Linked DNA regions of Nothobranchius furzeri. The protein of the gene in region 1 purifies or fractionates together with the protein of each later gene. This does not show direct contact. Links are inferred from orthologs where the notes say so. Each region holds a gene or a part of one and is shown in the gene's direction. Other genes may lie near its edges.

What was found.
Region 2: the proteins of eif3m (region 1) and eif3ba purify together in Homo sapiens (affinity purification with mass spectrometry; 8 studies listed by BioGRID and IntAct, counting the BioPlex papers as one, with this or other methods). This does not show direct contact. The link is inferred for Nothobranchius furzeri from reciprocal best matches to the Homo sapiens genes EIF3M and EIF3B.

What each region holds. Positions count from the first base shown.
Region 1 is NC_091749.1:32,399,148-32,403,604, forward strand, and holds the start of eif3m (eukaryotic translation initiation factor 3 subunit M), read left to right. Parts: upstream 1-1,474; 5' UTR 1,475-1,587; coding exon 1,588-1,629; intron 1,630-2,214; coding exon 2,215-2,347; intron 2,348-2,597; coding exon 2,598-2,736; intron 2,737-2,816; coding exon 2,817-2,940; intron 2,941-3,027; coding exon 3,028-3,122; intron 3,123-3,298; coding exon 3,299-3,382; intron 3,383-3,456; coding exon 3,457-3,556; intron 3,557-4,457. UniProt on the Homo sapiens protein: Component of the eukaryotic translation initiation factor 3 (eIF-3) complex, which is required for several steps in the initiation of protein synthesis.
Region 2 is NC_091744.1:16,233,372-16,236,706, reverse strand, and holds the end of eif3ba (eukaryotic translation initiation factor 3 subunit B), read left to right. Parts: intron 1-75; coding exon 76-286; intron 287-361; coding exon 362-434; intron 435-531; coding exon 532-654; intron 655-733; coding exon 734-812; intron 813-862; exon of another isoform or gene 863-940; intron 941-1,012; coding exon 1,013-1,151; intron 1,152-1,229; coding exon 1,230-1,355; intron 1,356-1,386; exon of another isoform or gene 1,387-1,471; intron 1,472-1,544; coding exon 1,545-1,622; intron 1,623-1,775; coding exon 1,776-1,884; intron 1,885-1,962; coding exon 1,963-2,063; 3' UTR 2,064-2,075; intron 2,076-2,236; 3' UTR 2,237-2,774; downstream 2,775-3,335.

The sequences.
Region 1 (4,457 bases):
CAGATAATGAAAGTCTTAGATTTACACAAGCACTCTTGCAGAGAAGCAGCAATAATTTTTTGCCATGGCAGCCTACAAGGGTGGGGAGAAAGTGGAGGTGGGATTTGGTACCAGGCGCTTGCCTTCCCAACAGAATGACGCATCTAGTGATCTCTGTGGTGAAACACTCCATCAGCCATTTCCCCTCAGCACATTATTTTGGGCAGTTTGTGCCTTGATGAATGTAACAGAGTCAAGTTCCCTTTTTGTGTAAATGCTAACATAAATACACGACAAGCAGACTTTCGGAGGAATTACGACACGGCGTGATGTGCCTCTATAGCCAATGAATCCTCAAAGTACACATATTTCCTGACAAGATGAGCTGTGAGCGGTGATGCAAGGAAATGAAAAACAGGATCTTCACCACGGGACAAAAGCCTGCTCGCCACCCAAACATCTGTAACCCGACCCCACAGTCTAGGGATGACCTCTTGCTCCACTTGCCCTGCTCACCTCAATCAGCGAGTGATCTGCCATTGTAACAATACGCAGGGTCCCATTTGGTACAGAGGCCCTACACGTGCACACATAGGTCAATGGGTGTCTGGTGGAGGAGAGCTGCCCTCTGACATCTCTGGCTTGGAAAGCTCTGGGTCAGTCCTTCTGCGGTGGTCCACAAAGACAGACTGGGGTTTAATCAGATAACTTCTTCAGGGAATCACCTCAGTAACTCAAATCCAAAACATCCACAGTTAATCTTCCAGAGGAGAGATTGACATTCAAATAAAAGTCTGGACTTAGTTGAGGGAAGCCTATGTGACTAATGAAGATTATGATAACTGGTGTGGAAAAACTAAATAACTAAAACATTCTAACTCTTGCTCACAGTACTCATAGTTGTCAAGAGTGAATTCATTTAACATATAAAATAAAGAAACAAATGACAGGCTGGTCCTCACGTGTTGCTGTCTGCATGATTTCTGTTTTTCTGCACCAGCACACCTGGTTGGAATCAAACTTCTGAAGAAATTGATGATATGCTGAAGAGGTTATTCAATACTTAAATAAAGTGCGTTAGAGCAGGAGAATATATAAAAAGTGCAGGACAGTGTCACTCCAGAACTGGGATTCAAGTTAACTGCATGAGTCTCGCATGTAATACATGGACATTTGCACTTCCAGATAAACGGAATGATCAAGGATTTAAACTGAAGACACAATTCACCAACAACTGTGTTTTTAAAGCATAAATATGATCAAAAATGTAAAAGAGTACTAAGAAAAAATTCTATGTGGTAATTATGTTTTTATTTAGCAATTACCTAATAAAATATTGGTTATTTGTGATAAATAGAAGTAGAGTGATATAAAGTGGCGCTAGGGAATTCAAAAAAAGAATCAACAATTTTTTATTTTTCATTTTATTATTATTATTATTATTTTTACTTTACGCGATCCCAGATACATTTTAAATTACTGTCTCTTTAAGAGAATGACCCGGAAGTGTACAGACGTGACCGGCATTGTAGCGCTTTCCTTTCCGGTTACGTCTCAGCTTTGGTAGGAGCGTGGATTTCATCTTCTAGGCTCAAAATTCACCAAAACATGAGCGTTCCGGCATTCATTGATATAACCGAAGAAGACCAGGTCAGATATAGATGTTTTAAATAAATATTTCATCACCGTTCCTCCAAAACTAGTTAGAAACTGAAAGCTTTTCCAGATAATTTAGCGCTTTAGCTTGCTGTATGCTAACATGTTTAGCTGCTGACAGGCACCTTTTGAATATGTACGTGAGTAAATATAAAAAACGAAATGTTAACTTTTACATGTAATTTATTTAAGCAAGCTGCTGTGAGTGATTTTTATCTGAAATAATTTGCGGTCCATGATGTTTATAAAGTTAGTTATAACGCTTTAGCAATGACTGCTAATATTGTAGCCATATAACTATAAACAAATGGGTACAATAAAGAATAAGAATTAAAAGGCAGCAAGTTAGGCATTCTCATAGTTTTTAAATGACTGATTCATAATTATACAAACTAAGCTTTCATAGTGCACAAGAAAATGTAGGACAGTATCTTTATTTTATGCTAAAACAAATACAAAATCCACTGTTAACTATATATAGGATAGTGTTAATGGGTGAGCATTGCTCCTGGACACTGTGTGTGATTATGGTATAATTCAGCCCTAATTAACTCAAAGGAAAATACGTTTTTGTTGCAGGCTTCAGAGCTGAGGGCCTATATCAAGGCCAAAGGAGCTGATATTTCAGAGGAGAACTCTGAAGGTGGACTTCACGTTGATCTTGCTCAGATCATCGAGGCGTGTGACGTCTGCCTCAAAGATGATGATAAAGGTTGGTGATGAAAATTAAGACATGAACAGACTTTTTTTTAATGGTGCAGTTGATTAAGTATGTGTCAGTGTTTAATTTGAAATCTATAAACTGGCTCGTGTCAGTTTTGAAATAAATAAAAATACAGAAATAACACATGGATTTGCCAAATGTATCACTAATTACACCCCTGCAACACAAATAGGTGATATTACACCGAGTGAATTGTTTTTATCTCCTGATTTTCATTCACCCGTTCGTTCCCCCGCAGATGTTGAGAGCGCAATGAACAGCATCGTGTCTTTGCTGTTGATACTGGAGACAGAGAAACAGGAGGCTCTCATCGAGAGTCTGTGTGAGAAACTGGTAAAGTTCCGTGAAGGAGAAAGGCCCTCCCTCAGGTTGCAGCTGTAAGTTCTGCCCCTCATTTGAGTGTTTCAACAAAAGTTACCATTAAAAGATCAGATTGTTTGATGCTGTGGTTTTAAAGGCTGAGCAACCTGTTCCACGGCATGGACGAGAACACTCCAGTGAGGTACACCGTCTTCTGCAGCCTCATCAAAGTGGCCGCCGCCTGTAATGCCATTTCCTTCATACCCACTGACCTGGATCAGGTAAATCTATGAGATGCATTTGTTTTTAGCTAAAAGAAGACTGCGTTGATATCTGCAGAGGTGATATTTGGCTTTGTCTCTACTTAGGTGCGTAAGTGGATCATTGACTGGAGCCTGAACACCGAGAAGAAGCACACACTTTTGAGGCTGGTCTATGAAGCACTGGTTGACTGCAAAAAGAGGTAAAACCAAAGATCAGACATGCATACTTTAAAAAGTAGGAAGGACATGTAGGAAGCTGTTGTATGTTTTCTGTGGGTTTTTGTGTGAATAAAAACATTGGATCATTGTCATGCATACTCATTGGTATTAGTGTGCTTCATTAGAAGACTTTTCAGACGTTTTACTTCTTTAACAGCGAACCTGCAGCAAAAGTCATGGTCGAGTTGTTGGGAAGTTACACAGAAGACAACGCTTCACAAGCACGTGTTGATGCTCACAGGTAAACTCAGAACCATTTTCATTTGTTTTTAAAACCGTGCCTCTCCTTACAAACAAGCATCTCCGCTCTTGTAGGTGCATCGTCCGTGCTCTCAAAGACCCCAACACCTTCCTGTTTGACCACCTGCTCACCCTGAAACCGGTTCGCTTTTTGGAAGGAGAACTCATCCACGACGTAGGTGTTGCAGGATGTTTTATATATGTATTTATAAAGTTTTTTATTAATAAAGTATATCGGAAATATTTGCCTTTTGGGGCTGCACAGTGGTTAGTGGTTAGCGCTGTTGCCTTGCAGCAAGAAGGTCTTGGGTTCAAATCCTGCCCTGGGGTCCTTTTGCATGGAGTTTGCATGTTCTCCCTGTGCATGCGTGGGTTCCCCTCGGGTACTCTGACTTCCTCCCACAGTCCAAAAACATGACTGTCAGGTTGATTGGCTATTCTAAAAAAATAGTCCTTAAGTGTGTGTGTGTGTGCACGCGCGCGGTTGTGTGTCCTGTGTGTCACTGTGTTGCCTTGCGATGGAGTGGCAATCCTTCCACGATGTACCCCACCTGCTTGCCCAAAGACTGTGGAAGTAGGCACCAGCCGCCCATGACCCTGTGTGGAAAAGCATGTAAAGAAAATGAATGGATATTTGCCTTTTAGTGTCTTTCATAGCCTTGAAATTGGAAAAATAAAAAAAAAGTCAGTCATGTTTATTAACTATCACCAGGACTTCCTGAACGAGTGGAATCAAAGAAACTAGTGTTTACTTTAGCTGTAATGTTAACCAGAGTTTTGACAAGTTTTACTGTAGATCAGGATTCTGCAACTCGCTGTCCTGGAGCCACAGGTCACTATGACTCAACTTTGGCTAGAAATGAGAATAAAGTAACTGTAACGTAGAAATATATTTAAAAGTAGGTGTAATAGATTTTCATGGAATAATTCCATTGAATATTAGTTCAATTTAGTTTTATTTATATAGCGCCATAACACAACAAGAGTCGTCTCAAGGCACTTCACAAAGTAAACATTCCAAAACAGGTCAGGGGTCTCATTTATCAAACATTGAGTAGAGTCCTTACTAAAACCGT
Region 2 (3,335 bases), on another chromosome or scaffold:
CGTTATGAATTGTTGCTTATTACACTTTTATTGTTATATTGATGTGAATCTCGAGTTTGTTTGGTCTTTCCACAGGGACTTCTCATGGTCTCCTGGTGACAACATCATAGCGTTCTGGGTACCAGAGGACAAAGACATCCCAGCTAGAGTCACCCTGATGCAGATGCCGTCTCGTCAAGAGATCAGAGTTCGTAATCTCTTCAATGTAGTTGACTGCAAACTGCACTGGCAGCGAAATGGAGATTATCTGTGTGTGAAAGTGGACAGGACTCCCAAAGGAACTCAGGTATGCAGCCAGAGATAGACTGTCTTTATATCTTATTGGATTTACGATAAAAGGCCCATCTCTGTTCGGTTCCAGGGTGTTGTCACCAACTTTGAAATCTTCCGAATGAGAGAGAAGCAGGTTCCTGTAGATGTCGTGGAGATGAAGGGTGAGAGCAAAAAAAAGAAGCATTTTTGCATCTATTTTTGACCGTTTTATTTTATAGAAGTAATCTAATGCGATCCGTTCGTGTCCTGTCTTCTTAGAAAGCATCATCGCATTTGCCTGGGAGCCCAACGGCAGCAAGTTTGCTGTTCTCCACGGAGAGTCTCCCAGAATCAACGCTTCCTTCTATCACGTCAAAAACAACGGGAAGATCGAGCTCATAAGTCAGTTGGTTGGGCAGATGAGCGAAAGTCGTTTTTTTAGTGTCTTTACTCCCTCTTGTAATTTTTATTATTTTTACAGAAATGTTTGACAAACAGCAGGCAAACAGCATTTTCTGGAGCCCCCAGGGACAGTTTATGGTGCTGGCTGGACTCAGAAGGTAGGGTGTGTGTGTGTGTGTGTGTGTGTGTGTGTGTGTTTTCTCTCAAAAGCCGCTGATGATAAACTTTATTTTCTGACACCTCATATGAGAGCTTTGCTCCTGATTCTAATGCTGTTCTGAGGCTTGTATCTTTTCTTTCACCTTTCACCTCTTGCACCTGCCCCAGTACCAAGTCTTTGTTTTGCCTCTGTGTTCAGTATGAACGGCGCTCTAGCCTTCGTGGATACCTCTGACTGCACCTTGATGAACATAGCAGAGCACTACATGGCCTCTGACGTAGAATGGGACCCGACCGGCCGATACGTCGTTACCTCCGTCTCCTGGTGGAGCCACAAGGTGTGTCCTGCTTCCACAAACTCACTCGCTCTTCTCTTCTGTTTAAACTCATCCCTTCTTTTGGACTCATTTGTCTAGGTGGACAACGCGTACTGGCTATGGACCTTCCAGGGCCGTCTCCTCCAGAAGAACAACAAGGACCGGTTCTGTCAGCTGCTCTGGAGGCCCAGACCTCCCACTCTGCTCAGCATAGATCAGATTAAGGTACCAGTTTGCCTGTAAAATGTGTGTCTGGAGCCGGTGATGACAGATAAAAACTTTCTGACACCTCGTATGAGAGCTGCACTCCAGCTCCTGATTCTATTTCTGATCTGAGGCTCATAAATACTTGACATGACATTTCAACCTCCTTGTTTTAGAACAGTCCTAATTAACTTGTGTTTTCCCTTGCAGATGATCAAAAAGGATCTTAAGAAATACTCAAAGATCTTTGAGCAGAAGGATCGTCTGAGCCAGTCCAAGGCTTCAAAGGTTTGACCTGTTCCTCCTTTTTGACATTTTACTCTTCATTGAAGTACAGATCTGTACATTCATGTTATCTCCTTCATCTTTGAAAGCTTGAGTCTGCCGACACTTAATTTTCTTCACTGCTGAAGTCATACAAATGTGTGTTTGTGAGCGTAGGAGCTGGTGGACAAGCGCAGAGCCATGATGGAGGAGTACCGTAACTACAGGGAGGCGGCGCTGCAGAACTATCAAGAACAGAAGAACCTCCGCCTTGAGCTCAGAGGAGGTGGGGCTCTGCTTTTACAAGCTCGACCTCGATGACCTCTGTGCTTCATTTTAACATTTGGATGGTTTGGTCTTCCAGGAGTGGACACTGATGAGCTTGACAGCAACGTGGACGACTGGGAGGAGGAGACCATTGAGTTTTTTATCAACGAAGAAATCATTCCCCTCGGAGATCTGTAGTCCGCTACGCAGGTAACACTTGATACGTGTAACAAACATGGCCACTGGTGTTTTGGTCCAGTGTTATGCTGGAATAACTGGAACAGCCCATTTTCTTTCTATTATAATTAGTTGCTTTGCACTTGGTGTCTGTATCAATGGTGTGATTTGGTGCTACTCTGATCTTCCTTTAGTCCATCTGTTGTTGTGTGGAAGGAGAGGATAGGAGCGGTGTCACTGACTGGAGAAGGACGACGGCCTCACTGTGACAAACGTTGGGTTCGTCTCGAGCCTCAGGTTTTCTTTTAGTGGCATCATCAAATCAACGTCTTGTGGATCAGCAGCCACATTGAGGAAAAAGAGAAGCTATCCAAATTATTTCTCTGCCTCACAATTGCCATTTTCTTCTTTGTGGAACTGGAAATTTAGTAAAACTGCCTTCATTTTTAAACATTGGTTGGAGTCAAAACTCTCAGCCCTATCTTAGTGGACCTTCTTCCTCCTGGGATTGATTCTGAACAGGCCTCATCATGCTGGTGTGTTGCTACAGCGCAGCACAGAGTGTCAAACCAGTGCATGAGGAAGGTGTTGAGTCAAAACCAGTAGCCTTGTCAACAAATGTGCTGATGTGGCGTTATAGTGGCCTGTATCCTCCTCCTTTCAGATTAGGCTTTCACACAGGGAGGGGGTGCGCAGTGGGAATAACTTTAAATAAACATTCTAACACAAGTACTCCTCTGTTCTGTTTTTGTGTCTTAAACAAGTTTTGTCCTGTTTTATTAAAATTTGTCAAAATGCAACAAAGGGTTTTTGAATGAATCTGTGGATAACAAATTCAGATTAGGGCTAAGTTTAGCAATGTCCCTGAGGTGAAAGAAGGAAGAGCGATCTAGAGAACTGACATGGTAGTCCAAAGTAAGAGCTGGGTCAAAGGTCACCAGGATTCCAGACAGGGTTTGGTGTGAGAAACAAGCTGACAGTCTCTGAGAACCAGCTTGTCTGGGGCACAGATTAGGATCTCAGTCTTCATTCAGCTGTAGAAAGTTACCAGCCATCCAGATTTTAATGGAGTGAGCAGATGTGTGACAGCTGCAGCTTGGACATCTCATGGGGTTTAAAGAGGATGTGCAGTTGGGTGTCATTTACATGAGGATGGTAGGAGATTCCTTAAAAGGACCTCAGAGTGCTGAAGGGGTAGCAGATAAAGGAGGAACAGTATTGACTCCAGCACATAACCTTGTGGAACCCCATGAGCAAGGGAGGTGGGGAAGAACCAAAACTTGCCAAAGAGAT